Linked DNA regions of Xenopus tropicalis. The protein of the gene in region 1 purifies or fractionates together with the protein of each later gene. This does not show direct contact. Links are inferred from orthologs where the notes say so. Each region holds a gene or a part of one and is shown on either strand. Other genes may lie near its edges. The genes, in order: dtl and cops5.

What was found.
Region 2: the proteins of dtl (region 1) and cops5 purify together in Homo sapiens (affinity purification with mass spectrometry; 6 studies listed by BioGRID and IntAct, with this or other methods). This does not show direct contact. The link is inferred for Xenopus tropicalis from reciprocal best matches to the Homo sapiens genes DTL and COPS5.

What each region holds. Positions count from the first base shown.
Region 1 is NC_030681.2:14,715,889-14,733,583, forward strand, and holds the end of dtl (denticleless protein homolog), read right to left. Parts: intron 10,881-17,695; coding exon 10,791-10,880; intron 10,041-10,790; coding exon 9,908-10,040; intron 8,899-9,907; coding exon 8,081-8,898; intron 6,911-8,080; coding exon 6,848-6,910; 3' UTR 6,485-6,847; downstream 1-6,484. UniProt on the Homo sapiens protein: Substrate-specific adapter of a DCX (DDB1-CUL4-X-box) E3 ubiquitin-protein ligase complex required for cell cycle control, DNA damage response and translesion DNA synthesis.
Region 2 is NC_030682.2:119,197,541-119,213,918, forward strand, and holds the end of cops5 (COP9 signalosome complex subunit 5), read right to left. Parts: intron 14,580-16,378; coding exon 14,468-14,579; intron 8,977-14,467; coding exon 8,828-8,976; intron 8,639-8,827; coding exon 8,554-8,638; 3' UTR 8,347-8,553; downstream 1-8,346. UniProt on the Homo sapiens protein: Probable protease subunit of the COP9 signalosome complex (CSN), a complex involved in various cellular and developmental processes.

The DNA.
Region 1 (17,695 bases):
TAAAGGGGTGCCCTCTGGTGCATTGATTGTTTTTATGGGAAAAAAGAACCCCCCCATCTGCCTATAATCCCCTCTAATGTACTTGTACAGAGTAATCATGTCCCCCCGCAAGCGCCTCTTTTCCAGAGAAAACAACCCCAACCCTGACAGTCTCACCTCATAGTTTAACCCTTCCATCCCCTTTACCAGTTTAGTTGCAGTCTCTGCACTCTCTCCAGCTCATTAATATCCTTCTTAAGGACTGGAGCCCAAAACTGCCCCCCATACTCAAGGTGAGGCCTTACCAGGGACCTATAAAGGGGCAAAATTATGTTTTCATCCCTTGAGTCAATGCCCTTTTTTATACAAGACAGCACTTTATTTGCTTTAGTAGCCACAGAATGACACTGCCTGGAATTAGACAACTTGTGATCTACAAAAACCCCTAGATCCTTCTCCATTAAGGAAACCCCCAACACACTACCATTCAGTAGATAGTTTGCGTTTATATTATTTCTACCAAAGTGCATAACTTTGCACTTATCAACATTGAACCTCATTTTCCAGTTTGCTGCCCAGTTTTCCAATTTGGCATGTTATGTAAAGTCTGAACACATTTCTGGGGGTTTTGGGGTCTTGTTTTATGTGTTATTACAGTTTTGCTAATAAAGGAAATTGCCCTTTAAAGGAGAAGGAAAGGTATTTTGCCAATTTACTGCCAATAAATTAGGCACAATAGTGCAAGCTAGAATAATATATTTATTCTGCAGAAAGCTTTACCATACCTGAGTAAACAGCCATAGAAACTCCCTCTGTTTGTTTAAGATAGCAGCTGCCATTTTAGCTTGGTCTTTGTAGCTTCTGTGCTGCAGCTCTACCTGCTGGTTGTTCAGATTACACAGAGTTGGGAGGGGGGGGCAAATTCTGATGGGAGGGGGAGGAGAAGGGTGTGGAGAGGGAGAAAGGAGCAGATTCCTGCCCTGCCCTGAAGGATTTTTCTGAGAGAGGAAGTCAGATACCCTAAGAATATGTTTACAAAAAAGGAGACAAGAAATCCTGTGTTTCTTTTGATAGAGGACTCAGAGCAGCGTTTCTGTGAGTGCTTATGGCTGTATTTACATAGAGCTTTCTGATAAAGCTTACTGAGTTTTTACCTTTCTCCTTTAAGCTGCCAGTCTCAGTTCCCCCAAGAGACCTGTTTATCTTATTAGTTACAATTGTATCTAAGTGCAGGCGGGCCAAATTAAATTTGTGAAACTTTGTATCATTTTTGCGGTTCAGTGCAGGAGATCAAAGAGAAATGAGGGTCTTTTCAGATGGCACAGCACCTACTCGGTATATAGAGCTGGGGGGTGACAGTTGACAAGACCAACAAGAAATGATGTGCCACACCCATCAAACTGATGTTGCACCCTAAGATTTGCCCAGTGGCCAAACTAAACACCCATAAGACTGGGTGCAGAATTTGCAACTGGGCCCCACCACCCTCTTATCAATACCACACAGCACCTGCTGCAGCCAGGCCCATGATGGGGGGGTGGGGGGGGGGGCATTGGTGTAGTCATTCCCCTGCCCCATGGATTTGCAGCAACTGGTTGAAAAATCAGCAAAAAACCTTGGGGGGAAACCTCTAAATCTTAATCTGGGAACTCCCAGCATGCACAGAGACAGGATCCAACTGTAAATATTAAAGCTCTGTTGATTCATTGCCCCGGATTCATAGTGGTGCGGCCCGTTGTGGTCTCTCTGGAAAGTGATACTCGGCACAGAGCTGCGGTGACCTGCGCCGGCACCTTTTAATGAGTAACAAACCCAGCTGATCTCCATATTACATTGCAGAGATTTCCATTTAAACCCACAAGTGCTGAGAATGTTTATGTGTGAAACTGCCTTTTATTGCTGTGAAATAATTAACCCAGAAGGTGAGCTTTATTCCTCCATTTGTATGTACACACTGTGCCTGGAATGTTACATTAATGTACAGGAATTCCTAACCGAGCTCCATTCATATGCTTAATGGGGACGGAGAAAGCAAGTCAGTCATTTTGTAATAACGTGTCCAATTAACCCCCGTCCCACTTCCTTTCTAACCCACTTTGCTTCCAATTTCTCCTTGAATCCGGTCCAGCGACATCTTGCTCCACCCCTGCCAAAATCACAGATTCCCACCCTGGCCGGTAATAACATTGACAAGTGGTGCCAATCACTGTTCCCTCTAAGCTGTGCGCGTGTGCGCGCGCACACGACTTTCCGAACCCGCGCACACAAATTAAAATAGCGCGCACAAAAATTAAATTTTTGCCTAAAATGATTTTTGCCTTTGGAAATAACTCAGACGTCTCCTCGGTCTCCCGCCCTCGTTACCCCGGCAACAGGTACTTCTGGCTCCTGTCCGGTGCAATGTGTAGAGTGTCCGTGCGTACCTGCGCGCGTACTTGCCCACGTCTGGGGGGGGGGGTGCGCGCAAGGAGCACGTTCAGCACCGGACAGGAGCCAGAAGTACCTGTTGCCGGGGTAACGAGGGCGGGAGACCGAGGAGACGTCTGAGTTATTTCCAAAGGCATTGCGCTGTGGGAAGTGCTGGATGGCACGTCATGAGGACCAGGTAGGTGTATACAAGTATGTACAGCACAGTTACACTGCCATCCCAGCTAACATGGAGATTCTGCTTTGGTAGTGCTGGCTCAGCAGCAAACAAATCAATGGGGGATTAATAACTTTGGCATCAGGCTTCATTTTTACCAGCCAGGGGGCAACCGTAGTTGGAGATGTGGCATAGGCACACAATGTATAGTGAAGGTCCTTCACTGAAGGAATGCTAGGTGAGGGTAAGGTTGGGGGAAAGACAAAGTCCTGTCCTGATTTCTAAATGTGTAAATCCTTATAGGCAGTTTTCGCCCCAGCGAATTTTCATTTCAGAATGATCAATTTGCAGAATTAGCAAAATTGATGGACATTGGTGCCACATTCTTAGCTTCGAGTGCAGATTGTGAGCGTGGTTTTAGTTTAATGAACAATCTGAAAACGAAGCAAAGGAACCGTTTACAGTTTGGAACATTTGGAAATGCTGATGCGTATTAAAGTGGACCTGTCACCCAGACATAAAAAGTTGTATAATAAAAGTCCTTTTCAAATTAAACATGAAACCCAAAATAATTTTTTTATTACCACATCCATGCCCATTATAAAAGCATTTTAAAATCCCAGCTGTCAATCATATAATGCCTGCCCCGCCTCTATGCCTTAGGCATAGAGGTGGGGCAGACAGTTACTTTCACTTTCAATTCAGAACTTCTTAGATGTTGCTGCGCCCCTAACATTCCCCCTCCCTCCTCACCATGTAATTGTGTAACCAGTGCATGGACATGGGCATCAGGTCCCCCCATACTGGCACAGAAACAAGATTTTGGCAGGATGCAATGCCTGCTTTGATAACAGTGTCCACAAAATGGCCCCTGCCTGCTTGCTGCAATTGCTGTGAATTCCAAGGATGAAGAAAATAAAATTAAAATAATTTATACAGTGTAAGTAAAGTTTATTTTGCTTGCCAAACACAACAGAAAACAATTTGAAATTATTTCTTAAGGTGACAGGTCCGCTTTAAGAGTAACCTTCAAAATGGAGGCACGATAGATCTTGACAGAATTTATTCAGACTGGATAAATATGAAAGATCGCAGAGAAAAACTGTGAAAACTAAATTACTCTTAGTTTCGAAATGCTACCTATAAAATATAATTACACGTTATTAATAGGTATAGCATTTAACAATGAAACTTGTTTGAATAAACAGTGTTATTGATAACTGAAATAACATCGTGTTTTTGTAACTTGATTTAGACAAACTGAAAGACCTGCGCAAAAATGCCCATAACTGAACTCCAACAAACATTCTGTAGCGCACAAAAATTTAATCTTGCTTTAAAATGCGCACGGATGATATTTTTTGCGCACACAGCCTATAAAAAATTAGAGGGAACGTTGGTGCCAATGCCCCTCATAGAGATACTTCCCTCAGGCCACATTAGCTCCTGAATCATTTTCTTTGAAGAAAGGTCAGCCGACCAAAGCTTGAGCCATAGGGATCTCCAAAGTGACACAAGGGCAAGTGGGGGTTCTTTTGAGAGGTAAAAAGTGGGGAGGAAGAGCTTCTTGTCAGCGCCAGTAGCCAATGAGTATGCGGAAAGAAGAGAACATACGAGTGGTGTAAGTAGCAAAGGCAGAAAGATGTAAAGGGGAAATAAGGGAGCAGTAGGGTTGCCAATTGGCCCAGCCGGCCCAACCTAGGGTGGGTACTGGTATTATAAACATAATATATTTTTTTTTCCCCCCCAAAACCCATCAGTTAATAGAGCTTCTCCAGCAGAATCCTGCATTGTAATCTGTTTTATAAAAGCAGATTTTTTTTAATTTTGAAATGTCACATGGGGCTAGCCATATTCTTCATTTCCCAGGGTGCCACAGCCATGTGACCTGTGCTCTGATAAACTTCAGTCACACTTTACTGCTGCGCTGCAAGTTGGAGTGATATCAACTCCTTGGGCAAAAGGCTTTGTGGAAAGTATTATAAGATGAAGAAAGAAGAGATGATTGCAGGAATTCTGTGGTTGAACGTTGAAGTTGCAAATTAAACATTTCCCTGAATTGTACAATATATTTTTAGCTTTCACATTTCAAGTGCCGGGACTGATAGCAGGTTCAGCTCGGTGTTAATTGCACAATACAACTTGCACTGGAAGGCTTGGAGCCAATTAAAAAAAGCTAACAGTGTATTAGAATAAAGAGAAATCCTGCAAACTGTAACCATCTGGGGAACAAATAGGTGCCAGGCTGCCATGGCTTACACTACTGGCACAGATCACTCAACCTACAAATAAGCTTAAAGGGGAAATTTGTTGAATAGCCCCACACAACACAGAAACCTAGTATACCCATCACTAATCTGTTCCTTGAAAAAGTAGGAATAAATACCATTTTTATATGCTGAAATCCAGCTGCAAAACAGTTATTTTCTTTCTGCATCATTTGTGATCCTGGCAGGGGAGGAGGGACTAAAACACTGATGTTACAAATTGTAACAACTTCTCCACAGCTTACAGACAGCATGCAGGAACTACATAACCCACAATGCATTGCACTGTGATGTTCCTTTCCTTATTTACATCACATGGACAGGGGATTGTGGGATTGGGAGGAGGCAGGCAGGCTGAGGAGAAGCAACCAGTTACATTTTATTTCACAATGTAGTCAGTCAGCCAGATCAGCAGGGGAACAGGGGGTGGGGCTTAGGGAACTGTTCCAAACCATAGTATAATACAAACCATGAGATGGCTGCATATTTCATTGATGTATAATGCAAAGTTGCTCAAAATTATGTTTTTTCAAAAACCTTAAGCTGTGTTTGGATGGGGGGGGGGGAAATTAGTTAGGAATCTTCCAGTGATTATTGCTAATGCTGGACCCTGGGACGGCAAAAGCAAAGCATAGGTCCCCCACACTAAGCATATCTACTACACATAGTTCCCACGTATCCATTGTCGGGGTCCGGATCCAGTACATGTGCTGTATAGTAAAATATGTTGTTGCTTACACTGGTCTTGGACTACTGCAAGGAACCAGTGGGAAATTCAGTAAAATTGGTGCTGGGCTGGAGTCCAATGTTAGCAATCTCATTCACGGAGGGTTACCGGCCAGTGAATTGTTACTTTATTTGCCCTTTAACCCTGTCAGTACAGAGCAGTGATCAGCAATAATTAGTTGCTCCCCACCGCCAGTAGCATCAAAGCAAGTGCTCATTTCTTAGCTGCTGCCATGGTGGCAAGTTTTGGATGCATAAGGACCAGGCCCAGACTGGCAATTTGTGGCAAATACCAGAGGCAGGGGCATTCTGACCCCTAGTGGTGCCCTGAGGCAGTCTATGGGATGCCACCCCTCCCTCACCTCTTTGCACCTCAATCAATAGTGATTTCTGCACTAGCAGAGCCAAATTCCCCAGACACTGCTGCAAGATGCAATAGACATTGACTTTATTGGGCTGGTAGGGGGGGCTGTTTGGGCCTTGAAATACCAGTCCAATATCAATCAGTCCATTCCTGATAAAGACCAATGTGTATTGCCAAACAGAGCCTACCCCCCAGCAATAGCTTTTGTGGCTCTCCAACACTTTCTACATTTGAATGTTTATTTACAGGTAATTAATGTTGGGCACCCCTGGTATACAGTGGCACAAAGCCCATTCTGCTTTCCCAACACCACTACACCAGATACCAACTCCAACAGTCAACTGGCTGGTCAGGTAAATACCCAGCACTACCTTAGCCTGCTCTCTATATTCCTACTACCTAAATATGAAACTTTAACCCCCATCTAAAATGGCCTTACCTGCAGGGTGGAAGTTCAGATCAGTCAGCGATATTCTCTTTAATAAAGATTTAGCGAAGACACCCAATGTTAAAGCACAATATTACATGATAGAATAGACTCTACGGACATTAAATACACAGAACTACCGAATTATAATCTGTATTTAAAAAGTTATATTTTTACAATATGACTCAACTATACATACACATAAAGTATTAAAATATCAAAACTATTTACAGAGATTTTTTGCCACCCTTCCCCAAACACATTGTTAACATTCGCTCCTGGGCAGATCTCCCTATGTAAGGGATGTTAAAGGCAGTTCCCTTGGACGATTAGTAAACTAAAAATAATTGATTGTAAAAACCCACATTTAGTGTCCTATGTCATGGAAAAAAGTGCTAAAATGTTAAATATATAAAACATTCTCTATGGAGCAAATAACGAAGCAGCAACATGTACATCCTTGTGTGAAACGGAACGCCGCGGAACATACAGGCTCACTCTTACTCGGATTTCTTAAAGAAGTAGGTGCAGATTTTTCTCATTGAGCCGGGGGTCGTTGGTACCTATATGACAGAAGAGAGGGAAACCATTGATGCTTAGCAAAAACGGCATCACATTCAGCAAACTGCAATTTATTTATATACTGGAAAATATATAGAAAAATATATTTAATGTAGCAGAAAATGCTACTTGCTGATTGGTTGCTATAGGCAATAAATGTAGCAAATTTTGCACCATATATTAAATAACCACCTTCGTATCAGAACAAAATATTTATTGGTGGTGCACACAAATGTCCGTATGTAATACAAGGCAATAAATGCCCAGGAGCAGTAACCCAAAGCGACCAATAAGATGCTTGCTTTTAGGCAGTAAATGGTACCTGCTTATTGGTTGTTACAGTTTACTGCTTCTGGACAAACTTACTCCCTTTACTACATAACCCCATTAGTGTAGGGGTCACTTGTGAGTTCCCCAATGTGAAACTAATAGCAGGGCAATTCAATTTGTATTTAATTAGTTTAACATAGGAAACCCAACAAGTTTCAACCTCCACAAACAAGTGGGGGTTCTTTGTCACAAGAATAACAAAAAGCAGGCATGCATTTTGTTGTGCCCTGATGAAGACCCCTCTTGTTTTTTGGTGGGTCAAAACATCGAAGTTTCTAAGCAAACAAACTTTTTTTAAAACTAAAGTGCCCTGTTATTTATTAATTAGTATCTGACAAATGGTGTTACCATGCCCTACCCACACGATCCATACAATCCCATCTGTATATTTTGCATGCCCCTAGGTCCCAGCTTCCATGCCATCAGCAAACAGCCCACCTTACAAACTATTGAGGCTATATAGTTGGACGGCTTTGTAGTTTTATCATTTACATGGTTTATTTGCAGATTTCCCATTACTGGGGTGCAGAAGAGCTGTCAGCTTAGCCAATTTTAAACGAAATGGCTAAAACAATTGCTTCTCCAGCAGCATCTGGTTGGGCCCGGCTCAAATAACGATCAGGCAGATCCCTCTATGTGAGCAGATCAGCAGCCCGAGCCAATCAGATCAGCCTGATTTGACCAACCATAGGGTCTGGAAACCAAATCACGTTGCCTTATTTAATCTTGCCGACTGATCTATAAACCAAAGCATAAGTAGACAAAGCGTATCAGCCCCATAAGACAATTCTGTGCAGCCCCTAAGGATAATTTAATGCACTGTATAGCAGAATGATACTTACAGATACTGGTGAATTGGGAGCATTCCTTGTCGGATGTTTTTTAGAGGTGCTGTTCCTAGAGGAGGGGCTGCTGGCAGCTTTATTCTGAGGGGAAGACTTGTCCGACTTGAATTTGTGCCCTAAAGCAGAGAGCCAGTTTTTCTCTGGGGAACTGTTTTCTTTGTCTCGCAAGTCACTTTTCAACTCAGACAGAGGACTTAGAGGGGGGTTAACTGTACCATTAATAAGGAAGGATGTTGACGGACCGGGAGAGAATTCTTGGTCAAATCCCCTACTCAAGTCTGAAAGCCTCAGGCATTTATCATCGCTGCCGTCTCTCTCTTTCTCACTGAAAGAACACAAGTCCAGTTTTGCTTTCTTCAGCCCAGGCTCCAACTCCATCACACAGTTGCAATGGTCAAGGCAGACATGTTCCACATCTTCGCTGCTGGTTTCCAGGCGCCTCTTGGCCCTCTTCTCATAGGGCATCTGTACCCTTGTACTTGATACGCTTGGGTACTGCTCCACGGGGGTGAAGGCTTTGCGGGGAGAGGGTGTCTTTGTATCAGCCCGTGTGGATGACTTGGGAGTGCGGGTGATCCAGTCCTTAATTGAAATTTTTGAAGAGGACGTCTGTTTGGGAGATGCTCCTAAACCCTCGCCATTCAGCCTTTGTGGAGTCTGCAGCTTAGGAATTGGCAACAAGGCAGATACAGGAGTGCTGGAGGGCATTGGCAGGTCTCCCGTGTAACTTGGGGCACACGTGGCTGGTGTTGGGGAAGACATCAGGGAACTGCTTGGTATCATTGAAGGCTTCCCAGGCGTACAGAGGTTTGCGGCTGAAGGAACAAATGAAAAGAGATAAGGCACTTACGTAAACTTCTGGTGGTCTTCATCATTTATTTTCTATAGTTGTTGAATTATTTGCCTTCCTCTTTTACATCTTTCCAGCTTTCAAATGGGTCCAGCAGCCAAAAACTACTGCCCTGTGAGCCTACAATCTTATTGTTACTTCTCATTACCACCTTTCTAGGCAGGCCCTCTACTATTCATATTCCTGTCTCTCACTCAAACCATGGCCTGGTTTCTAAGGTAAATAAGGCCCTAGCTACCAGATGTCTGCTGAAAAACCAAACTGGAGAGCTGCTGAACAAAGCTAAATAACTCAAAAACCATAGTAAATAAAAAAAAAAAGACCAATTGCAAATTCAGAATATCAACATCTATATCATACTAAAAGTTAATTTAAAGGAAAACTACCCCTTTCATTAATACAGCAGCAAGGAAGCCTAAAAAAATTGCATTTGGGGTCAGAAAGCGACATGTCACACATTCCCATCACTATTCTGGTCACCAGCAGGAGCCCCCAAGTACTCATTACAGACAGCTGGCCCCTGTATTAGGTGCAATCTCCTGATTAATATCTTATCTGTATCTAAATTCAGGGTTTCCAACCCATACTTTACCCACTGGCCAAATGACTAAATTGCTATACAGGTGGTTTCCCAATACAAATAAAGGATTGTAGACCCTTTTCACTTCCACTGCTATCAAGGCCTCCATCCAAGGCCCCAAGGGCTCAAACTGGCAGTATTTTTTTGGCTCATGAATGCTTAAGGTCAAGCAAATCTTCCCCACATATATTTATGGCCAATTATGTGGCTCATAGGTGTAGCTAATACATGTGCTAAAAGCAGAATGTAAAAGATACCTTAAGAATCTGGAATGTTTGTTCAGAACTGAGATGTATGATGAAATCTATGTTCCTATTACATTGCCATTCGATAGTATAATTGGGTACTAGTGGCAGCACCGAACACCTAGTCAGTTACATAATGAGAACCTTACCCATAGAAGGCGGTACACATTTCTTTTGGCAGGCCCAACCAACAGTTTCGGTTTTATCCGACTGCGCAGAGTCCTCGCTACTTCTCTTCAGTCTCCATACTCTCACGGTGTTGTCATCAGAGCATGTGGCAATCTGTGTGAGAGGCAGGGAATGACAGTCAGACCAGGAGCCAACAAAAGTGAACATGGGCAGAGTTCTGTCACTGTGCAAGTGGGATCTTGTGGGTTTTGTGGGCTCCCTCACCAATAATTGGTAACAGCCTAGTGTGAGACTTTGCCATCAGCCATCACAATGCTTTTTAGTCATTTCAAAGGAAACCGTCAACCATTATTTAGGATAATGGCACATTAGGCGATTCAAGGGGTTTTGTTGCCTGCCATATGATTTCTAGCTTTACGGACACACAACAAAAAAACTTATAATTCAGTGGGTAACGCCGGACCTTTGAGTTAACCCCTGGGCGCAGGTTAACACCGCTACCAAGTAGTGAAGTGCTGGCCGGCCCAATACCTGTGGGACCCTTGAGAAACGGCCTGGAGGGGCCCGAAACATTGCTTTGCTTGTATGTACTTGGGCAAATAGACACATTTTTGCAGGGTTTAAATTTACAGTGTGCTACTGCATTTTTTTTGCTATTGCTGGACGAGTTTGGCCTCTGCACAAGATTTTCAGGTCGCGGGCAACCTTACACTTTCCGGTTCCAAGCTCTCTTTTTTATAGACGTGCCCCCCCTTCCCTTTTGTGACATCAGTGGGCAGGTTGGGTCTATAGAGGGGACCAGCCAGGCTTGGTACGGCTCGGGTTGGGAGTAAAACTCGACCCACACAAACACTGCACCCAGTTTACCCTCACCCTTTATGATAAAATCAGGCAAAAACAAACCTTTGTAAAGTCTGACTGGCACCAAGCTACAGAGGTGACTTCTTGACAATGTCCCGTCAGGGTGACAGGGGGAACCTTGGGATCAGACACCTGAAACAAAAGAGAAACTCTTCACAAACAAATACAGGCCGGAACAGACAGTCATGCAAAACAAAGGTGCTGATGTTCCATTTCCCTTTGGAAGGAACAGACATGCACATCTAACAGAATGCTTTAAAAAATATAACAACGTTGCATAAATAAATTTGTGTCTGTTACAAAACAGATGTTTTAAACGTCTTTGAAATGTTATAATTATGAAATGACAGTATTTCTTCAGAACTTCATCAATCTACCCATGGGCAAAGCATTGTATAACTACCACACCATGGAACAGCATATAAAGAGTATATAATTATGGGATTTGTTACCCAGGAATGCTGGATAAGAGTCTATCATTAATGCCATACCTTAAGGCTGCTGAGAACAACTAGAAATAAATCAATAGGATGGCTTTGCTATCAGACATGAATCTATGCCGGCTTAGTTATCAATTTGTCACGAGTTGCTTAAACCAATGGGGAATGGCACTTATATTTCAGGTTTCTGGGTAACTGATATCATGCCTGCACTCAAAATAACAGCATAGAATGGTATTATGAGAATGGAAGACAAAGCGGTGTTGGATTGCTCACTATGAAGAACTCTGCAGTTGCAAGGGTTCAGAACTAACCAATTGCTAGTGAACCACAAAAGCTAAAAGAACAGATGTCTGCATCAAAACAGGAAGCTTAGCTACATATCATGAATTGCGATCACAATGGTACAGATCTATAACAATTTTATAGAAACCAATCTGGGGTAAAGACACATTTGCTAGACATTCTTAAACCCATCCTTATGATAAAGTAATTATGAGGCTACAGTTGTACAGGGGTGTATGGGGACCCCCTAATGCAGTGATCCCCAACCAGTGGCTTGTTCGTAACCGGTTGCTCCCCAATCCCTTGGATGTTGCTCCCAGTCGCCAGGAGGTGCTTATGTTTAACCCTTTAAGTGCCAGCCGAATTCGTCATTTCGGTTCCCCCCAGTGCCAGACGTTTTTTAAGCATTTTGTACTCATTCACTTTAACAATGTTTTTTGGTAGGAAAACCTCCATGAAACTAGGGAAATTATATATCGTTTTTTTCGTCACTAATTGGGCTTCGACATACATACCAAATTTTATAACTTTTCTGGAGATATGATGTGTATTTTGGGTGAATTATGTAAAAAAAAAAAAAAATTATGAAAAATTTCTGTATATTTTGAGTTTTTTTTCCATAGAAAAGTTAATTTTACAAACTTTTTTTTGTTGTTTGTAAAAGCCCTGATACTCCCAAGTCCAACGATACCAAATATGTGGTGGTACCCCACAGTTCCTGTCCAGAAGTAACCCCCAAACTAAAGCAATACTTAGTACAATATCACACCAGAACAAAGCGGAAAAGCGCTTGTAACAGTTGATGCAGCATAACTTATATGTAAATCTAAAATATCCCCTCATGTTTGGTATCTTTAGAAACTACAGACCTTCAGGTTTCTAGGTGCAATGTAGTTTTCACTAAAAAGCCAAATACCTTTTGTCAGTGCATTGTGAAATTTGGAAGTTTTTTTGACATTTTTTTTTTTTTCTAAAACGTAAACTTGGACGCATGATCAAATGTGGATTTGACAAAAAAAAATCTCATAAAAATTTTCTAACAAAGGCAAATTTGAAAGACAAATTTCTACTGAATAAAATGATGCCCCATATGTATGGGTGCACATAAAGACATGGGCACCAAACAATCCAAAGCAGGGGCAATGCACAAGGGCAATTACAGCTAAAAATGTGGGTGCTGTGCTCTATGTGCACTACCTGCAGTTTTTCAGTGTTAACCCCCCCTACTTGTGAAATAACCCCCACAAACTATATATTTCTGAAAAGTGCACACCTTCAGCTATTCAGAGACACCACTCTTCTCTTTCTACATAGAAAATTGTGGCCGCAGTCCCTTGCAGAAGTCAGCGCTTTGGTCAGAAATCGAGGAAAAAACTGATAAAAAACCTAGATTTCTCCCCAAAATCTCCATGGCAACTACCAAAAACTTACTAAACATCAATCTGCAAGTTCCCCTGAATAAAACAATACCCCATATGTATGGGTGCACATAAAGACGTGGCCACCAAATGCCCCAAAACAGGGGCAATGCATAAGGGCAATTTCAGTTGATATTTTGGGGGCTGCGCTCTATGTGCACTTCCTGCAGTTTTTCAGTGTTAACCCCCCCTACCTGTAAAATAACCCCCACAAACTATATATTTCTGAAAAGTGTACACCTTCAGCTATTCAGAGACACCACTCTCCTCTTTCTACATGGAAAATTGTGGCCGCAGTCCCTTGCAGAAGTCAGCGCATTGGTCAGAAATCAAGGAAAAACCAGATACAAACCTAGATTTCTCCCCAAAATCTCCATGGCAACTACCAAAAACTTACTAAACATCAATCTGCAAGTTCCCCTGAATAAAACGATACCCCATATGTATGGGTACACATAAAGACGTGGCCACCAAATGCCCCAAAACAGGGGCAATGCATAAGGGCAATTTCAGTTGAAATTTTGGGGGCTGCGCTCTATGTGCACTTCCTGCAGTTTTTCAGTGTTAACCCCCCCTACCTGTAAAATAACCCCCACAAACTATATATTTCTGAAAAGTGCACACCTTCAGCTATTCAGAGACACCACTCTCCTCTTTCTACATGGAAAATTGTGGCCGCAGTCCCTTGCAGAAGTCAGCGCATTGGTCAGAAATCAAGGAAAAAACAGACACAAACCTAGATTTCTCCCCAAAATCTCCATGGCAACTACCAAAAACTTACTAAACATCAATCTGCAAGTTCCCCTGAATAAAACGATACCCCATATGTATGGGTACACATAAAGACGTGGCCACCAAATGCCCCAAAACAGGGGCAATGCATAAGGGCAATTTCAGTTGAAATTTTGGGGGCTGCGCTCTATGTGCACTTCCTGCAGTTTTTCAGTGTTAACCCCCCCTACCTGTAAAATAACCCCCGCAAACTATATATTTCCAAAAAGTGCACACCTTCAGCTATTCAGAGACACCACTCTTCTCTTTCTACATGGAAAATTGTGGCCGCAGTCCCTTGCAGAAGTAAGCGCATCGTTCAGAAATCAAGGAAAAACCAGATACAAACCTAGATTTCTCCCCAAAATCTCCATGGCAACTACCAAAAACTTACTAAACATCAATCTGCAAGTTCCCCTGAATAAAACGATACCCCATATGTATGGGTACACATAAAGACGTGTCCACCAAATGCCCCCAAACAGGGGCAATGCATAAGGGGGGGGGCTGTGCTCTACCTGCAGTTATTTAGTCTAAACACCCCCATACCTGTGAAATAACCCCCACAAACTATATATTTCCAAAAAGTGCACACCTTCAGCTATTCAGAGACACCACTCTTCTCTTTCTACATGGAAAATTGTGGCCACAGTCCCTTGCAGAAGTCAGCGCTTTGGTCAGAAATCAAGGAAAAACCAGATACAAACCTAGATTTCTCCCCAAAATCTCCATGGCAACTACCAAAAACTTACTAACCATTAATCTGCAAGTTCCCCTGAATAAAACGATACCCCATATGTATGGGTGCACATAAAGACGTGGCCACCAAATGCCCCAAAACAGGGGCAATGCATAAGGGCAATTTCAGTTGAAATTTTGGGGGTTGCGCTCTATGTGCACTACCTGCAGTTTTTCAGTGTTAACCCCCCCTACCTGTGAAATAACCCCCACAATCTATATATTTACGAAAAGTGCACACCTTCAGCTATTCAGAGACACCACTCTTCTCTTTCTACATGGAAAATTGTGGCCGCAGTCCCTTGCAGAAGTCAGCGCTTTGGTCAGAAATCAAGGAAAAACCAGATACAAACCTAGATTTTGGTCAGAAATCAAGGAAAAACCAGATAAAAAAACCTAGATTTCTCCCCAAAATCTCCATGGCAACTACCAAAAACTTACTAAACCTCAATTTGCAAGTTCCCCTGAATAAAACGATACCCCATATGTATGGGTGCACATAAAGACGTGGCCACCAAATGCCCCCTAACAGGGGCAATGCATAACGGGGGGCTTTGCTCTACCTGCAGTTATTTAGTCTAAACACCCCCATACCTGTGAAATAACCCCCGCAAACTATATATTTCCAAAAAGTGCACACCTTCAGCTATTCAGAGACACCACTCTTCTCTTTCTACATGGAAAATTGTGGCCGCAGTCCCTTGCAGAAGTCAGCGCTTTGGTCAGAAATCAAGGAAAAACCAGATACAAACCTAGATTTTGGTCAGAAATCAAGGAAAAACCAGATAAAAAAACCTAGATTTCTCCCCAAAATCTCCATGGCAACTACCAAAAACTTACTAAACCTCAATTTGCAAGTTCCCCTGAATAAAACGATACCCCATATGTATGGGTGCACATAAAGACGTGGCCACCAAATGCCCCCAAACAGGGGCAATGCATAAGGGGGGGCTTTGCTCTACCTGCAGTTTTCAGTGTTAACCCCCCCTACCTGTGAAATAACCCCCACAATCATATATTTACGAAAAGTGCACACCTTCAGCTATTCAGAGACACCACTCTTCTCTTTCTACATGGAAAATTGTGGCCGCAGTCCCTTGCAGAAGTCAGCGCATTGGTCAGAAATCAAGGAAAAACCAGATAAAAAACCTAGATTTCTCCCCAAAATCTCCATGGCAACTACCAAAAACTTACTAAACCTCAATTTGCAAGTTCCCCTGAATAAAACGATACCCCATATGTATGGGTGCACATAAAGACGTGGCCACCAAATGCCCCAAAACAGGGGCAATGCATAAGGGCAATTTCAGTTGAAATTTTGGGGGCTGCGCTCTATGTGCACTACCTGCAGTTTTTCAGTGTTAACCCCCCCTACCTGTGAAATAACCCCCACAATCTATATATTTACGAAAAGTGCACACCTTCAGCTATTCAGAGACACCACTCTTCTCTTTCTACATGGAAAATTGTGGCCGCAGTCCCTTGCAGAAGTCAGCGCTTTGGTCAGAAATCAAGGAAAAACCAGATACAAACCTAGATTTCTCCCCAAAATCTCCATGGCAACTACCAAAAACTTACTAACCATAAATCTGCAAGTTCCCCTGAATAAAACGATACCCCATATGCACATAAGTACATGGCCGCCAAACCTGAAAATGCATAATATTGGGGCTGCACTCTATGCACCCCTTTTTTTTTTGCCTGCACCCGAATGAATGGAATACGCTCGGGTGCAGGCACATGTAGCCGATATACGCATGAAAACGCGTGAGAATGCAAAGTCTCGCGTTTTCATGCGTATATCGGCTACATGTGCCTGCACCCGAGCGTATTCCATTGATTCGGGTGCAGGCACAAGTAGCAGGCGTAGGGCTGAATTTTCGGCAAGCGTTTTTCCACTTGCTGAAAAAATCAGCCCTACGCCATGTGTGGCATCAGCCTAACCCTTGGCAATAGAAACTACCAGAACAATCTTAGCACCTCTGGACCTTTCTAGAACAACTGAAATCAAATGAAGTTAAAATGGAATAAAACCACTAAAAGCAATCAAAGAACAATAATTGCAATGAAATCGGTGATCAGAGCCCTGGATCCACCAATGTCACTGCAAAAGCAACCTTTTTAGGGCACTAAATACACAATAAAGAACAATGCAAAGATAAAACACCATAAAATCAGTAAATTCAAATAAAAACCGCTCAAACCAACAGAAGAACAATTATTGCAATGAAATCGGTGGTCAGAGCCCTGGATCCACCAACGTCACTGCAAATTCAGCACCCAATAGCAATACAAAAGTTACAGTGCAATAGAATAATTCAAAAACAGAAATCAATTATGAAAATGCAAAAAAACACTAAAATGCAACCAAATAAATCAGATAATTATAGAGCAAGATCAGAAATAAAGTTTTAGTAAAAAAAAAAGACTGCCAGAGAAAGCAAAGAAAGAAAGAAAAGAAAAGAAAGAAAGAAAAAAAAAAAAAAAAAAAAAAAAAAGTGTAAGTGTAAGTGTGTGTGTAAGTGTCTGTGTGTGCTTGGGAAAGTTGTAAATAAGTGTGTATGTGTACAAAAGTGTAATAATGACAAAGATAGAAGAAGAAATAGAAAAAAAAAAAAAAAAAAAATTTTAGACAGTTGAGATAGAAATAAGCAAAATAAACAGTGGTTAGAGAGTTGTAGTTCAGCTTACACAATGCAGGCAGGCGATCAGGGCGACCAATCTGGCAGGAAGGCAGCAGGGGGGCTCCAGCAGTCTCACGTGGCAGCAGAGTGAAGAGGCGACGGCGGGGGCGGCGACAATTAAAGGGACAGCAGTGGACACGTCATCAATGCGTGTCCACTGCTGTCATTGGCTGAGGACCCGGATCGGCGGCGCTGGGGGACCCGGATCGGTAAGTATGACCTCTTGTGCTCGTTGCCTAGGGGGTTGTGCAGGCTTTACAAGCGCTGCGCTGCTTTAAAAGCGAGCGCAGCGCTTGTAAACCCGTTAGTGCTGTAGGACGTAGATTCTACGTTCTATGGCACTTTGGTCCCTTGGTACCTAGGACGTAGAATCTACGTCCTATGGCACTAAAAAGGTTAATTCCTGGCTTGGAGGAATGTTTTGGTTGCATAAAAACCAGGTGTACTGCCAAACAGAGCCTTTTATAGAAGATATTCAGCTGAAACTGGTCATCTAAATTACACCCCAGGACAGCGGAAGGGGTGATTAATAAGATAAACCCCTCCCTTGGGTGATGATTGGGATCCACATGCCAAATAAATAAAACATATAAGCAGGCAGTACATATATA
Region 2 (16,378 bases), on another chromosome or scaffold:
TCAAAGCCTTTCTGGGTCATTAGGTGCGATATTGGAGGGATATCTGCTTATGAGAAGCTTTGTACGGAAATTAATATTATTATATATCCCTAACAAGTATGGGGAGTTCTTTATTGTAATATACAGTTAGCTAAGGAAAGGAGAAGTGAGTGTTTAAATATACATATATAGTGATTTTCCATCCATATTTATTTATGTGGAAATTAAGACTATAGTATATTTACAACCAATATGGGGAGTACGATATCAAAATATAGTCAGGGGAAAGGAGAAGTACTTGTTTTAATATATATGCAGTGATATTCCTTCCCTTATTTTATAATAAGTTTGGATTTGTCTAATGAAAGAATGGAACCTTTGTTTTTAATTAATTATTCTCAGCCTCATATGGGATTCTGGTTCAGGAAAGGGCTAATGTGCTTTGTAACTGAGTTTGCCTTAATTCTATATCAGAACCCCATTCAGGAAAGGGTTAATGTAATAGACCAATGTAAGAGAGGGGGGAAGTATAAATGAGAGAGGGAGGACCTCCGGAGGTTAAGCAGTCTTTGAAAAAGCGCAGGAGCGCGAAACGCGTCGACCTTTTTGACACAGGAGAGGATCCGTACTGAAGGAACTGAGCTTCGGTGACGTCACTGCCGAATCGGCCCGAAGCGGCAAGTAAAGATAGTGCGCTCCTCTCTCTGTGCCTGAAGTAAGTTCCCGGCCGGGATAACTGTATCAGGTTTGTTGTTAGCTTAACCACCGTGAGGTCCCCTTGGTATACTTTACCCATTTGTAGTGCGGGGCGTTGCCGGTATTGTGGTATTATTTGCTGGGAAAATATTTTTGAAGTCTGGTTTCCCACGATGCCTCTCCTATCTAGTTGCAGCCTTTTAATATAACGGCTGATTGTATAACCCAGTCCGGGCAGAGTGAGACCCTCAGCATAATAGATGGTTTGATTATTTTTAAGCTAGCGATCATGCTATATAAATTATCTTTTAGCCTCTACTAGTATGAATCATAGATCTCTATTATAGTTCTTAATTTATACTAAACTGTTTGGGTATATTTACACTGATCAATGAATATTTATATAATTGTATTGATTAATGAATTTCTGTAGATATTGCCAATTATTTTTTTTTAATCCCATCTACTTTTTAACCAATGTGTAATCATATATAGGAATGAACTAATGTTATTTTATGCACTCTTTTGATTTTGATACACGGATTAATGTTATATTTTTAATAAAGATTGATTGATTAATTTTAATACACACGAATGTTTTGTGAGCGCCAACTCTGTGGGTATTTAATAGAAGAAAAACGTGCAACATTACAAACACGGAAGTAATAGAACGCGCATGAGCTAAATTACATTCACACTTTCGCGGTCATCGGCGTAAGAAGAACGCCGTATATACGCGGTTTTACGCAACACAGAAATAACCGCCAGTACGTAAGTACGCCGAATTTTACGCCGCGAACGGCAGCGTAATTTTCTGTGTTATAACGCCGTTTTTACCGCACTTTAATAAATATGCCCCTTAGGGGCTGATTTACTAAGACACAAATTCGAATCCGAATTGGAAAAATTCCGATTGGAAAACGAACATTTTGCGACTTTTTTGTATTTTTTCGGCGCCTTTACGACTTTTCGGAAATTATCGCGACTTTTTCGTTACCAATACGACTTGCGCGAAAAAACGCGAGTTTTTCGTAGCCATTACGACTTGCGCTAAAAAACGCGAGTTTTTCGTAGCCATTCCGAAAGTTGCGCAAAATCTGGCGATTTTTTCGTAGCGTTAAAACTTGCGCGAAAAGTCGCACCTTGTTCGTAGCGTTAAAACTTTTCGCGCAAATTTTAACGCTACGAAAAAATCGCCAGATTTTGCGCAACTTTCGGAATGGCTACGAAAAACTCGCGTTTTTTCGCAAAAATCGTATTGGTAACGAAAAAGTCGCGATAATTTCCAAAAAAATCGCAAAATACCGATCATTACGAAAAAAACCGCAATCGGACGCATTCGGCCCGTTCGTGGGTTAGTAAATGTGCCCCTTAGTGTAATTCTTCTAAAATAATTCTGGGGTTGTGCAAAATGTGCAGTATGAAGTATGCATATAGCACAGGTCAACTGCTAGATGGACAAGGGCCCTATGTATTTGGATTGTAATTGCTTTTTCATTTGGGTTAGATGTGTAGGTTTGGCTATAAGGAAGTTGTAGCCAATTAGAACAATATCAGAGTCATCAATAGACACTCTGAGAATTTCTTAAAACAAAAGTTCTTGGTTTTCGAGAGTTATTTGGTTAACCTCCATCTTGATATTAATATATTGTCACTAGCACTTTTTAATTTATTCCAGTGCTGTATAGCACATTGCCATGGGTGAATATCACTGTTTAGAATTCCAAAAGATGATTAATTTATGATATAATTAACACTTTGTTAATTTTGTTAGCACTAATGTTTTGTACCACATGCTTATTTACATCCACTATATCCCCGGCATCCAACCAGCACTTTTTCTGTGGGGCTTCTGTTATGCGTTTCCTCATCCCCCCAGTCTTTGCTGCAGCCACTCTGTTTTTCCTCCTCCTTCATTGCCAAATGCAGCTTTCTCTAGAGCAGTGCTGTCTAACTGGCAGCATGCGGCCCGCGGCCCCCATCTGTGTGGCCTCCCACCTGTCTGGCTGCTTTGATGGCTTACTCTTGTGTAAGCTTTAAATGGTATCAGTACTGTTATTAACTGGCCCCCTGCATTGCTCACACCTCAGATTCAGCCTGTAAACCCCCTGTATTGTTTAAAAATGTAATCCTCTGTTGTTCACACCTTTTAATCTCTGCACAGCAGGTAAGTAAGATATTTTTAGACATGGTATTGAAGAGTTTAACTTACCCAGCTCCTGTAGTATCTGTCCTGGAACGTAGGTGCCCCTTGCTTAGAAGTATAAGGTTGTGCATTGTCTTCTGCTTACTTCTGATTTGTTGGTGCTCTGTCTTCATTTCCAGCATCCTTAGGCTGATGCCACACACAGCGTATGCGTATATTTTCGGCAAGCCAAAAATCGCTTGCCGAAAATACCGTCATACGCTCCTACCTGTGCCCGAATGAATGAGGCCGTAGATGCGAAGTCTCGTGTTTTTTGGCAAATATCAGCTACACGTGCCTGCACCCAAGCGTATTTAATTCATTAGGGTGCAGGCATAAGGTAGGGTAAGTGTAGAGTAGCAGGGCGTTTTCTCAGCAAGCGTTTTTCAGCTTGCTGGGACTACGCCAGTGTGTCATCGGCCTAAACCTCCTTAAACAGGACTTTAGGGCGATCTCCTTGCCTTTGGCACTTTTCTGTGGCCAATATCATTGTTAAGGAAGCTGATTTACTCCTTCACTGCCAAGTGCTTATTGGCTGCTCGTGTCCCACCCCTTGTATAACACTGCAGTGATGTGTGCAGTCAGCAAGACTTTCTGCTACTTTTACAACCCGCTTTGTGTTTGCCTTTGTCAGTGCCTCTATTAATCGTTGCTACTGCCTTCCTTGTCCCTCTGGATGGCAGTGTGCTTCTCTTTTTCTTGGTGCTAAAGTGTGCTTCGCAGCTCGACGCTTTCTGCTTCTGAGCGTATGGCGTATATGCACCATACGCAACATATGTCTGCTACTTGTGCCTGCACCGGAACGAATGCGATATGCTTGGGTGCAGGCGCATGTAGCCGATATCCACATAAAAACGCGAGAGAATGCAAAGTCTCACGTTTTTATGCGTATTTCGGCCACATGTGCCTGCACCCAAGCATATCTTATTCGTTCAGGTGCAAACACAGGTAAGAGCTTATGGCGATATTTTCGGCAAGCGTTTTTTTCGCTTGCCGGAAATATACGCCATACGCTGTGTGTGGCATCAGCCTTAAAGGAGAAGGAAAGGCTTATAAAGAGTTAATCTCAAGCTGCAGGCATACCTTCAGTTGTCTCAATAGTCCCCTTAAGTCTCCCCATATTTCGCCTGTTCAGATTATCAGAAGCCAAACAGGAAGAAAAACCGCTGAGCTGTGTAAAGAAGATTCCCAGAATGCATCACTCCTGCGCCGAGACTAAGACCAGCTACTGAGTAAGAGCATGTGCATTTAACTTATGCTGTGATCACACTTTCCATCTCGAGCGGCTCAGGTAGAGTAGGTTGCGCTCGTGTCTAGGGGAGGGAGAAGGTTTGCGCATGCGCATTAACTTGCGCGGCGCCATGTTGGACTAATTTAAATATCCAACATGGCGGCTGCAATAGATGCAACAGCGAGTGCTCTAAAAGTACCTGCAAAAAAGGTGAAAACATGTAGCTATCAGCTACAGGTACATGTGGCCTATCTATGTATGGGTTTTAAACCCTCTCCTTCTCCTTTAAGGCTAATGCTGCACTGAGCGTATGGCATGTCTCATTTGTTCAGGTGCATGCACAGGTAAGAGCGTATGGTGATATTTACAGCAAGCGTTTTTTCGTGTGGCATCAGCCTATTTGCCTGCCACCATCCTATGCCTGCCATGAGCCTTGTTTGTCTTTTCATAACACATTCCAAGCTAAATGTTTGCACATTCTGTAAACATCGGCATTCACAGTACTCACCTCGGGTAATCTACATGGGTGAACATATGTTAGACTAGTTTGTAATACCTCTAATAGTCTTAGTTTATCAATGAGACTACTGATAGATACTAAGCAAGTAAAGGTCCCCATACATAGAGATTTGCTCACTCGGCGAGATCGGCAAGCGATCGGATCTTCACCCGATATCCCCACCTACAGGTTGACAATACGGGGGAGCGTGTAGGTAAAAAAAAAATAATTTGATCGTTTGGCGGCAATGGGGCAGTCGGTTCGGGGACCACATCAATGAGCCGATGCGGTCCCTGATCTGAATGAATTTTCTAACCTGGCCGATCAATATCTGGCTAATTTCAGGCCAGATATCGGTCGGGCAGGCCCCTCATTTCTGCCCCTACATGGGCCGATAAGCTGCCGAAACTTGATCAAAGGTTTAGAAAAAAAAATTATGCTCATGTTGCTTTTGTTGCTTTTATTTTACCAATTTTTCAATTACGTTTTTTTCCTGTCCCAAAAATACGCAATTAAACAGGTTTAAAAAATAGATATTTCATTCTTCAATAGTAAGGAATCACATTAAATGATTAAGTTGGAATATAGCATTGCAGGTAATAATCAAATAATCAGCAGGCTTGATGAAGGAGAGGTCATGTCAAAGCTTTAATAGCTTTTTATGAAGATGCTATTAATAAAATAGAGAGGGTCCAAAGAAGGGCAACTAAGCTAGTAAAGGGAATGGAATGTCTCTTGGGACTGCCATTTACACTGGAGAAGTGGTGCTTAAAGGAACAGTAACACCAAAAAATGAAAGAGCTTTAAAGTAATAAAAATATAATGCACTGTTGCCCTGCACTGGTAAAACTGGTGTGTTTGATACAGTAACTCTACTATAATTTATATAATAAGCTGCTGTGTAGCCACAGGGGCAGCCATTCAAGCTGGAAAAAAGGAGAAAAGGCACAGGTTACATAGCAGATAACAGATAAGTTCTGTAGAATACAGTGGTGTTTTATCTGTTATCTGATATGTGCCTGTGCCTTTTCTCCTTTGAATGGCTGCCCCCATACTACACAGCAGCTTATTTATATAAATTATAGTAGACTTTCTGAAGTAAACACACAACTTTTACCAGTGCAGGGCAGCAGCACATTATATTTTAGTTATTTTTATACACTTTCATTTTTTGGTGTTACTGTTCCTTTAAGGGGAGATAAAATAACTATGTATAAATATAAGAGAATTATATAAAAATCTCTCTAATGCTTTATTTACCAGTAAGTCCTTACAGTAGACACAAGGCCATCTATTACCTATAGAAGAAAAAGAGAATTTCACTAACCTTGTCGGAAATTCCATTTCTTCTACTCCCGACATGTCAGTACACATGGCCCAGCTTTGCCTCTGCCAGATAGAGGGTAGGACCTAGCCATTTAAAATGAATCCTGCCTCCAACAGTGTGAAGGTGTTCTGTCCACTCACAAAAAAAAAAAAAGTGGTTTTGTTGTGTTTAAGAAAATTGAGAGCAACAAAAAAATGAATGGTGATGTATTACTGGCTTAGAATGGTAGAGCAATAGGATAGGCGGGCTGTGAAAAGAACTAACAAGCTGTCTAGGTTGTTGAATATATATTCCTACTATGTTTATAAATTAGTCAAATCTCCCCAACCCGAACTGCATATACCCCCCCTCTGTTTGCCAGCTCATTAATACAGCTAGCAGCTTTCAACCGGCAGCCATTTTCCCCTCCGACGCATCAGTGATATTTACTGCAAACAGCAAATATTTATATGCAAACAGCAAGTTCATGCAACAAAGAATGCAAGCTTGCACAGGCAGAACTTACTTTGATAAAAAGTTCTGATTGGAATGAGCACTGTGATGGTTAAATTGAGCTGAGGACAGGAGGTTAGGAGAAAAAACATACTCCTCCAGCAGAGGGCACTGCCAGAGTTGAATTTTAATGGAAACCAGCAATACTATAATTTCACTGGCTGCTAGACTTGAAGGAATGTTTAGTAACCAGGTAAAGAAGAACTGAGCATGCTCACTAGGCAACAGCCAAAGTAAATTCCCAAGTGAGGGGGGAGAGTGGATTAGAGGAGAAGGAATCCCAACCAGTGGCAGGTATTTCCAGGTTCTACACTGATTTGGGGTGAATATATTTGCTGTCCTTAATATTGTTCGAAAAACAGATTCATAACTGATACAGCAACACCCATAAGTGTACCAATTTCACAAGCTAAAGGGGCTGTGACCAAAGTAGTACATGAAAGGGAAGCCCAGTCCATAAGCTGGAGCTTAAACTCAAAAAAGCAACCATTGTGTTAGGTGCTCTTAGGACACAGCCATGAAAAAAAAGGCTTTCAAAGCTTTTCAAAGCTTTCAATTCTGTTGTGGCTTGCTTTTTGATTGCTGATACGGGGAGCACTGGCATAGCTCATTAAGTTATGCTCTTATGGGCCAACATCCCAAGTGAATGGGTTACTGTTTGGATCGGAGAGTCAACTTCTACCCTAGTGTTAGGCAAGCTCCAATATTCAGATGCAACAGAACTACTCTTAGGGGCAGATTTATCAAAATATGAGATAAGAGCTCACCACAGAAAGCTTCACCCACATTCTATTCATTCCAATGGGATTTTTAGAAGTGTATTTATCAATAGGTGAAAGTTAGAGTTTGCCTTTTGATAAATATGCTTTTATAAATCCCATAGGAACGAATACAAAGTGGGTGAATTTTTCTGTGGTGAGCTTTTCTCATATTTTGATAAATCTGCCCCTTAGAATTGTCCTAAGCACAAAAGATGAAGGGGTATCAGTAGTTGTAGTTCTGCAATAACTGAAAGGATAGAACATTTATCTGTCTCTGCTTTACCTACTCACCTGCCGAGCTCTGCAGAGTAGCAGCCTCTGTACTACATTTGTACCTGTTATGAGCACTTCTGAACATCCAGCACTGCATATCCATACTGCTCCAAAACACGTACAATCATGCAGTCAGTTATATTTTAATACATCTTAAGTGATCAAATATTTTCCATTCTCTGGTAATGCACCTTCCTCCCATTGGTCCTCACAAGCTGCTTAAAGGAACAGTAACACCAAAAAATGAAAGTGTATAAAAGTAATTACAATATAATGTACTGTTGCCCTGCATTGCTAGAACTGGTGTGTTTGCCTTATAAAGACTACTATAGTAGGAGAAAAGGCACAGGTTACTTAGCAGATAACCCCCCATTATATGGAGCTTATCTACTAGTTATCTGCTATGTAACCTGTGCCTTTTCTCCTTTTTTCCAGCTTGAATGGCTGCCCCCATGGCTACACAGCAGCTTATTTATATAGTAGCTTTTCTGTAGCAAACAGCACATTATATTTTAATTACTTTAAAACACTTTAATTTTTTGATGTTACTGTTCCTTTAAACACACATAACCAAACAGAGAACCCACACAGAGTGAATATTCATGCACAGATAAACCTTGTGCCTAAATGGATAGGGTAAAATCAAAATCTCAAAACAATGTCTTCAGAAGCGCTCTTCAGGTCTCCATATACATTCTCTAGTTAGACCGATGATTGTCAGTGATACTGAATCAAATTAATCATCCATGTGGTCTTGGCTATATATTTGTAATGAACCTCACTATGTTTCCAGATTAAAGAGGTCTATGAAGTGCTCAAAGGGTGAACTTTACAATCAGCCATGGAACATTTCTCATGAAACAAAGTGCAACAGAGGAAACAAGAATAAAAACAAAACATAAGACAGTTTAAAATATTGTATTTACTTAGAGAGCTCCAATCCAATAAATGGGAATATTTCAAGAATGTCACAATAAATGTCCTTTGCTTTCCATAGGTTTAAACAAACAAAAAGTGCAACCCAGATGAAAATCTCTGGCCTCTGCATAAAAGAAGCAACTTATTTGAACAAGACAGACAGCCAATCTTGAATCTTTGCAAAATGAAACATTAGGCAGTATTGATCTGGTTGAACAATTTATCTTTAATCACTTGTGACATCAATCCATGGATGGCTTCAATGGTTGTCTTGCAGCTGGAAAACAACACAAAGAAAAAGAATGTTTGCATAAAACTATTTGAAGTTTATCAGTAACTAAGAATGGCTTGCAACTAACTTTCTATGGTTTGTGTTTTTAACATTAAGAAACTTTTTTATTTGCTTAGTTCTTGCATCTAAAAACGAATCCTTCCAGGCAAAACAAAAACAGCTCTGATACATTACCTGTCCCTTGTTGCTTTTGCCAGTTTATCCTCAGATTTTCGGTCATGAGTTTCTAATCCAAGCATGAAACTCCCTCGACCAAGCTGGGCTTCAGACTGCTCTAATTTCTCCGATAAATCAAATACCTGTCCGGTTGTGTAATCCGCGTTCTGCAAATAAAAGGGAAACAATTAAAAGATCCTAAAGACACAAACAAATATTACAAGAATACAAGCTTCCACACCTTGTCAGAAGTAAATTCCATATCCAATTTCTTTGCAGGAAGTTTAACATTACACTTCTAGTTACAAGATTTATTTATGTATGTACAATTTTAATTTATAAAGCAACCTGTAGGCTTCAAGGTGTTGCTGAACTATTACTTTTTAGCAGACTGCCTTATATCTCAAAGCCCTAACTGTTCTGCAGATCTATTTAAAATAATAATGAAGCAAGAATGAAGAACCGCTTCTTTACTCATATGCTGCAACAATTATTTATGTATGTGGTGCTGTGGGGGGAGGAGGGGGGGGGCTGTCACACACACACACACACTAATATACAGATATAGATATAAAAAGCCTACACAGCCCTGGTAAAATGTCAGGTTCCTGTGCTGTACTAAAATGAGACAAAGATAAATCATTTCAGAACTTTTTCCACCTTTAATGTGACCTATAAACTGTACCACTCAATTGAAAAACTAACTGAAATCTTTTAGGTGGAGGGAAGAAAACCAAAAAAACTATAATAATGTGGTTGCATAAGTGTGCACGCCCTCTTCTAACTGGGGATGTAGCTGTGTTCAGAATTAAGCAATCACATTCAAAATCATGTTAAATAGGAGTCAGCATACACCTGCCATCATTTAAAGTGCCTCTGATTAACCCCAAATAAAGTTCAGCAGCTCTAGTTGTTCTTTCCTGACATTTTTTTAGTCACATCCCACAGCAAAAGCCATGGTCCACAGAGAGCTTCCAAAGCATCAGAGGGATCTCATTGTTAAAATATATCAGTCAGGAGAGGGGTACAAAAGAATTTCCAAGGCATTAGATATACCATGGAACACAGTGAAGACAGTCACCACAACATTACCAAGGACTGGACATCCCTCCAAAATTGATGAAAAGACGAGAAGAAAATTGGTCAGGGAGGCTACCAAGAGGCCTACAGCAACATTAAAGGAGCTGCAGGAATATCTGGCAAGTACTGGCTGTGTGGTACATGTGACAACAATCTCCCATATTCTTCATATGTCTGGGCTATGGGGTAGAGTGGCAAGACGAAAGCCTTTTCTTACGAAGAAAAACATCCAAGGTTGAACTTTAACTTTTTGGCCATAATTCCAAAAAATATGTTTGGCGCAAAAACAATACTGCACATCACCAAAAGAACACCATACCCACAGTGAAGCATGGTGGTGGCAGCATCATGCTTTGGGGCTGTTTTTCTTCAGCTGGAATTGGGGCCTTATTTAACAGTTTAAGGGTGTGCACACTTATGCAACCGCATTATTTTATTTTTTTTTATTTTCCTTCCCTCCACCTAAAAGATTTCAGTTTGTTTTTCAATTGAGTGGTACAGTTTATAGGTCATATTAAAGATGGAAAAAGTTCTGAAATGATTTATCTTTGTTATATATATATATATATATATATATATATATAATAGATGGAGTAGCTGTAGAGAGAGGTCTTAAGAAAATATAGAGGTTTTATTCAAATCAACATCTAACGTTTCGGCTGCATCCACAGCCTTTCTCAAAGACAATGTGAAACAAACAATGGTGCACTGAAAAAAACGAATTTGGCGCCAAACAATGACGTCATAGGTGTGAATACATTAGCATACAGTGTGAAAAAAACAGGGGACACACTTAACTACTTCTACATATAGGAAACCCACAGATCGCAACACTTTATTGCATCACGCATCCTGTCATCCTCCACATGTTTTGAAAAGCATCCCATACTCACAGATGATGCGAATGGTGAGAAACAACTCTGATCCTACCACACTACTTCAACAGACAGACGATCTGAAATCTCGTTTCCTGCAACGTGGATATCCTTCGGGCGAATTGGAGCACAGCAGAGAGAGAGCCCTCTCGCACACGCAAGCACAAGTTCTTCATTCTAACAAACCACGCACCCCCACCAAGCAGGATGATCGTCTCACTTTCATCACTACCTTTACCCCTGATAAGAAGCCACTGATCAATGCCTTCCTTTACCATTGGTCAGTTCTCGAAAAAGATCGGACACTCCCTCCAATTTTCAGATCTCCACCTCGCATTGCATACAAAAGAGGCAGCAGTCTTAGGGACCTACTGGTAAAAACGGACCCTACACATTGCTATCAGATGTCTCATACAACTTCCTGGCTACCTTCCACCAAACTGGGTTGCTATAGTTGTCCTAATTGCATCACCTGCAGTTCCATGTTGACAGGTCCGACTTTCAATCATCCACATTCCGGTCGGAACATCTCTATACAACATAGGGTCACCTGTACCTCAAAATATATTGTGTACTTCATCAAATGCCCCTGCGGCCTTTTTTATGTTGGTAAAACCATCACAACATTCCGGGATCGTATGGCGAATCATCGTTCCGCAATCCGGACTGCACTCTCTGATGATAAGGCTGACACCCCAGTTGCAGCGCATTTCCTTGCTCATAAACACTCTCTGGCTAGTATGAGATGCATGATCATTGATCATATTCCTCCTCCTGTCTGCGGTGGTAACCGTGAGAACTTGTTACTACAAAGAGAACTAAAATGGATGCATAAATTGAATACTGTGAGTCCCTACGGCCTCAATGAACTTGTTTCATATTCTTCCTTTTACTTGAAATGACCGTTTGATATTGTTACATACTATATATGTTATGCTACTATGATCTCTCTGTTATATCCTGTGACCTCATTGCAACATTTGTTGATACATAGTTGACATTTGCCTTTTTGGCCACTTTTCTCTTCTGAGATTGTTCTCTGTTTTAATCTGTATCTTCTGACTTTTGCAGTTTTCCCCTCCCCGTGTGTCACCCGCAGCCCGGTATCTAGGACTATAGGCTACTCCCTTTTCCCTTTGTCTCCACTTCCTTCTTGTCCTCTTGCTTTTCCTCCTTTTTCCCTTCTCTCCTGTATTTCTTCTTTTTTCTGTCGCCTATTTTTCTCCACTCACGCTGCCGATCAACTGTCCCACCACTATGAACCATCTTTCCTACAGTGATATGACCACATGCCTTATTTACTTCTACACACGGTGTAATAGTGTGCTAAGTACTGCTTACAGGACCCATTACATATGGGGTCTCTTTGTGCGTATGGGTGCACCATCCGTGACAAACTGTGTAAGAATTACATATGACACTGTTTTTTATAAACACTTTATTGTTGATGCCCTATACAACACACACGGTGCAATAGTGTGCGTAATACTGTCCAATGGACCTTAACAATAGAGGTTCCTCGTGACGTATGATCGCACCATCCGTGCGTTACAACCTGGGCTTGATTCTGCCACAATATTTATCCTTTTTGAGAAATTTTCCCTCCTTTGGTACCTGCGTCCAAGATACGTTGAGAATGACATGATACCTTTTAGTCTCCCTACTCTGGCATACCAGTAACCCCGCTGCCTTTTACATCAATGTCTGTCTCCCATAGTATTGAGCCCTTCGCCACCTGACAGCACCTGCAAAGGAGAGTCGCGTCTATAATGTTCTTGGTGATGGTCGAGTACTACTGATCGGCTTTCCACGCTAGCGAACGCACTAATCGGTGCCGTTGCTTTTGCTCTGTATGGAGTGCAGAGTCCCCTCCCACGGCCATACCATCGCACCGACAACAAATAGGTATTCAACCGCACAGCCCTTAGATCAGGCTTGATGCATCAATCCTCGCAAGGCACACCGCTGAGCCATTCAATACAATCCAAATATAGAGGAGAGCACCATAAAGCAGATTTCTGCTAAAATGCTATTTATTTCAGACCAAAAAACACAACATGTTTCGGGCAGTGTGACGCCCTTTATCATCGCACCGACATCTTTCCTTTCTCATTACCTCACTCTGTCCTCTCTACTTTGTCTCTCCTCAGTTACTATTCTACATCTTTCTCTTTGACTACTTTTCTTCCCATCTGCCTCTTCTATTCCCCTTGTCCTAGCTTTACTACAAATAAGCGGACCGATTCCCCATAAGGCACACCATATAATGCATTATTTGACAGTCATGTCAGGCAATACATGCTGCACAGAACAGTCATGTTAGTTACTCATTTTCAGCAACTCCTTGATGTATATTTGCCCTACTGTCCCTCATTATTTCTTATTCCTTGGGCCAGTTCGATTTTGTACATTTATAAACTTATAACTTGGGGATGTCTTTGCGACATGTGTGAGTTGCAGTTCAGCACTAGATACATATGCGGGCTTTTTTAATACACACCCACTTTTCCTTTCCCCTGACAGTCCTTTTGTTTGTGTTCTATGCCTAATCCATATTATCTTAACATTTTTTGTTGATTCAATGTGTTTTGATAGCGTTTTTTTCACACTGTATGCTAATGTATTCACACCTATGACGTCATTGTTTGGCGCCAAATTCGTTTTTTTCAGTGCACCATTGTTTGTTTCACATTGTCTTTGAGAAAGGCTGTGGATGCAGCCGAAACGTTAGATGTTGATTTGAATAAAACCTCTATATTTTCTTAAGACCTGTGAGTGCGGACTCTCTCTACAGCTACTCCATCTATTATTTTGGGACTGACACACACACTTTTAGTTACCATTACTAAGTACCCCCACTCCAAAATCAAAACCACCCAGGTCTCGAAAGATCTGTTTTTATGATTCGAACTCTTGTATCAGAGCTAACATATCTGCGATACTTCAAATTACAAAGCCTTGGTTGGCAAAGGGGGGGGGGCAAGTACCCCACGTTGCAGTGAACAAAAAATGTATAACCTGTGTTAACATCATCACAGGCTTGGGCAAAAAAATTGCACTGCCTATATTTTGCCAGCCAGTTTGTACATGTGTATAAACACTGACACAGAAATGGAGACACTTTGTTTCAGAATCATCCCTTATTAAAGGAGAAGGAACATTACAATCACTGAGGGTGCCAAAATGTTAGGCACCCCCCAATTATTGTAATTGCTTATCTGAAACCCCCGGCTGGTGCTCCTGTTAGGAGAAAACTGCACCTCCGGGGTGTAGGCAACGAATAGATTCTCTTCCTTCTTCGAGCATTTGCAATGGAATGAATAGCTGAACTAACAACAAAAAAAAACCCGAAACAGCTTTTTGCTTAACTGTGCATGTGCGGGTCTGGGGGTCCGGGATCTTGTCAGAGGAGAAGGAAAAGGATCACTTGCATTAACTGTTGGCTGGTGCAGTTTTCTCCTAACAGGAGCATCAGCCGGGGGTATCAGGTATGTGATTACAATCACTGGGGGGTGTCTAACATTTGGCACCCCCCAGTGACTTTTACCTTTCCTTCTGCTTTAAATCTAAAATGAGCATGTGATCTATTTATGGTGTAGCTTACTTGGAGACAGCCAGATAAGATCTACTATAACAGCCATTTGCAAAAATGAGAAAACATTTTAGAGAGAGAGAGTTATAATCAGGCAGGTGGCTTACTTACTGTCAGAAGGCTAGAGGAACTCAGTGTATTCACCCAATATTTATTCCACAACAGCTCAAGAAGTTTTCGGTCCAAAGATGATTTGAAATATGTAACCTCCAAGGCATAATACCTTAAATGATACAAAAAATTCTTGTGTTACAAGAAACTGATGTTTGGTTTAATTGACAAAGTGGGCTGTGTAGCAAGAGTTTAACTTATATAGCCACACAGTGGAGAACACCCTAAAGTGGGCTAAAACTGACAATATAGTCCATAACAGGAATACATGCACAAGTGCTGCCAATCAGGCTGTTTCCAGGCTACAACATACAGCACCTCCACTAGCTGGGTTAATGCTGGATGTTGTCAACAGTATAATACATAATCAACAATGCCATGAATATCTTTATAATTATTTCCTGAATGATTAAAGTGAATGATTAAAGTGGACATATAGACTAAATATAGTCACCAAGAACAGCAAAAATGTTTTTCTGATAATATTACATTTGTATTGTACAATGCGTATCCAAATTCTAAGACTGGAATGCCCCCTTCTGAGTAGGCAAAAGGGAAACGTGCAAAATAAGGAAAAACAATTATAGGAAGAGAAAATGTAGTATAGTAGTATGTTATGACCCAATATTAACACACATATTCCACTCCAAAGTGCTTAGCGAAGAAAATGCTTGACATCATAAATACATTTAACAGACTGGGGCTACAAATTAGCAATACCTTTTATTTTTGCCAGAATATCTTCCTGCCTACTAAGGTTGCCGGTTTAAGCTTGTACATACATATAAACACTGCTACAGAAATGGAGACACTGCTTTAGAATTACCTCTTATTAGCAGTGTATTAGAAAATGCTCGAACTGTGATAGGGAAGCTACCCTGTGTAAAACACTCCTCCCGTGTTTCTACCTAGAGGGAAGGGCTTGTTACACATAGGCTGAACTACACTTCTCTGGCCAAATAAAAAGCCTATCACTCCTACTCTCGTATTTGCAGGATTCAATACAAATTAAAGGAAAGGAAACAATACAATGGCAAGAGGATGTTATTGGCAACTCTGTATACATCCATTAAACATGATGTTGTGCAGCCATTAGGCATTATTTTTAGGCCAGGGGGAAACAATTTACTCTCAGCTACATAAACCCTTTCTTGGGTTACTGGGAACGGAATACCCATGGGAGCTTAGGGAGTGTCTCCCTAAGATGGCGCTACACAGATGACGTGATTAGAGTTTGGAAGGATATACAGTAAGCAATGAGCTGTTTATAAACTTAATTATATAAACCAGATATGAACCTGGAGTTTACTTATAGTTCAAGCAAGGACCTAGAAGTTGTTTAAGAATCTTTTTCAAAAGATTGGTATGTCCAAGCAAACAGAAATCATATTCTTAAAGGTATACTTTCATGATTTTTATGGTATACTTTTTATTTCTAAATTACACTGTTTACAAATAATTCACTCAACCATTTAAAATTCTATTCTTGAACCAACAAATTTATTTTATTTTCTTAGTTGTAATATTGGTGTGTAGGCACCATCTCAGTGCATTGTGCCCGAGTCTGAGCTTTCAAAAGGAGCCAGCACTACACATTAGAACTGCTTTCAGGTAACCTATTGTTTCTCCTACTCCCATCCCAATCCAAGCTGGATTTATTACTATTGAGTGCTATTCTGATACCTACTGAGAGCTGCTATCTTGCTCCCTTCCCATTGTTCTGCTGACTGGCTGCTGGGGAGGGTGATATCACTCCAACTTGCAGCGCAGCAGCAAAGTGTGACTGAAGTTTATCAGCGCACAGGTCACATGGCTGTGTCTGGCTGGGAAATGAAGAATATGGCTAGTCCCAAGTGAAATTTCAAAATTAAATATAAATAAAAATCTGTTTGTGCATTTGAAAACGGATAT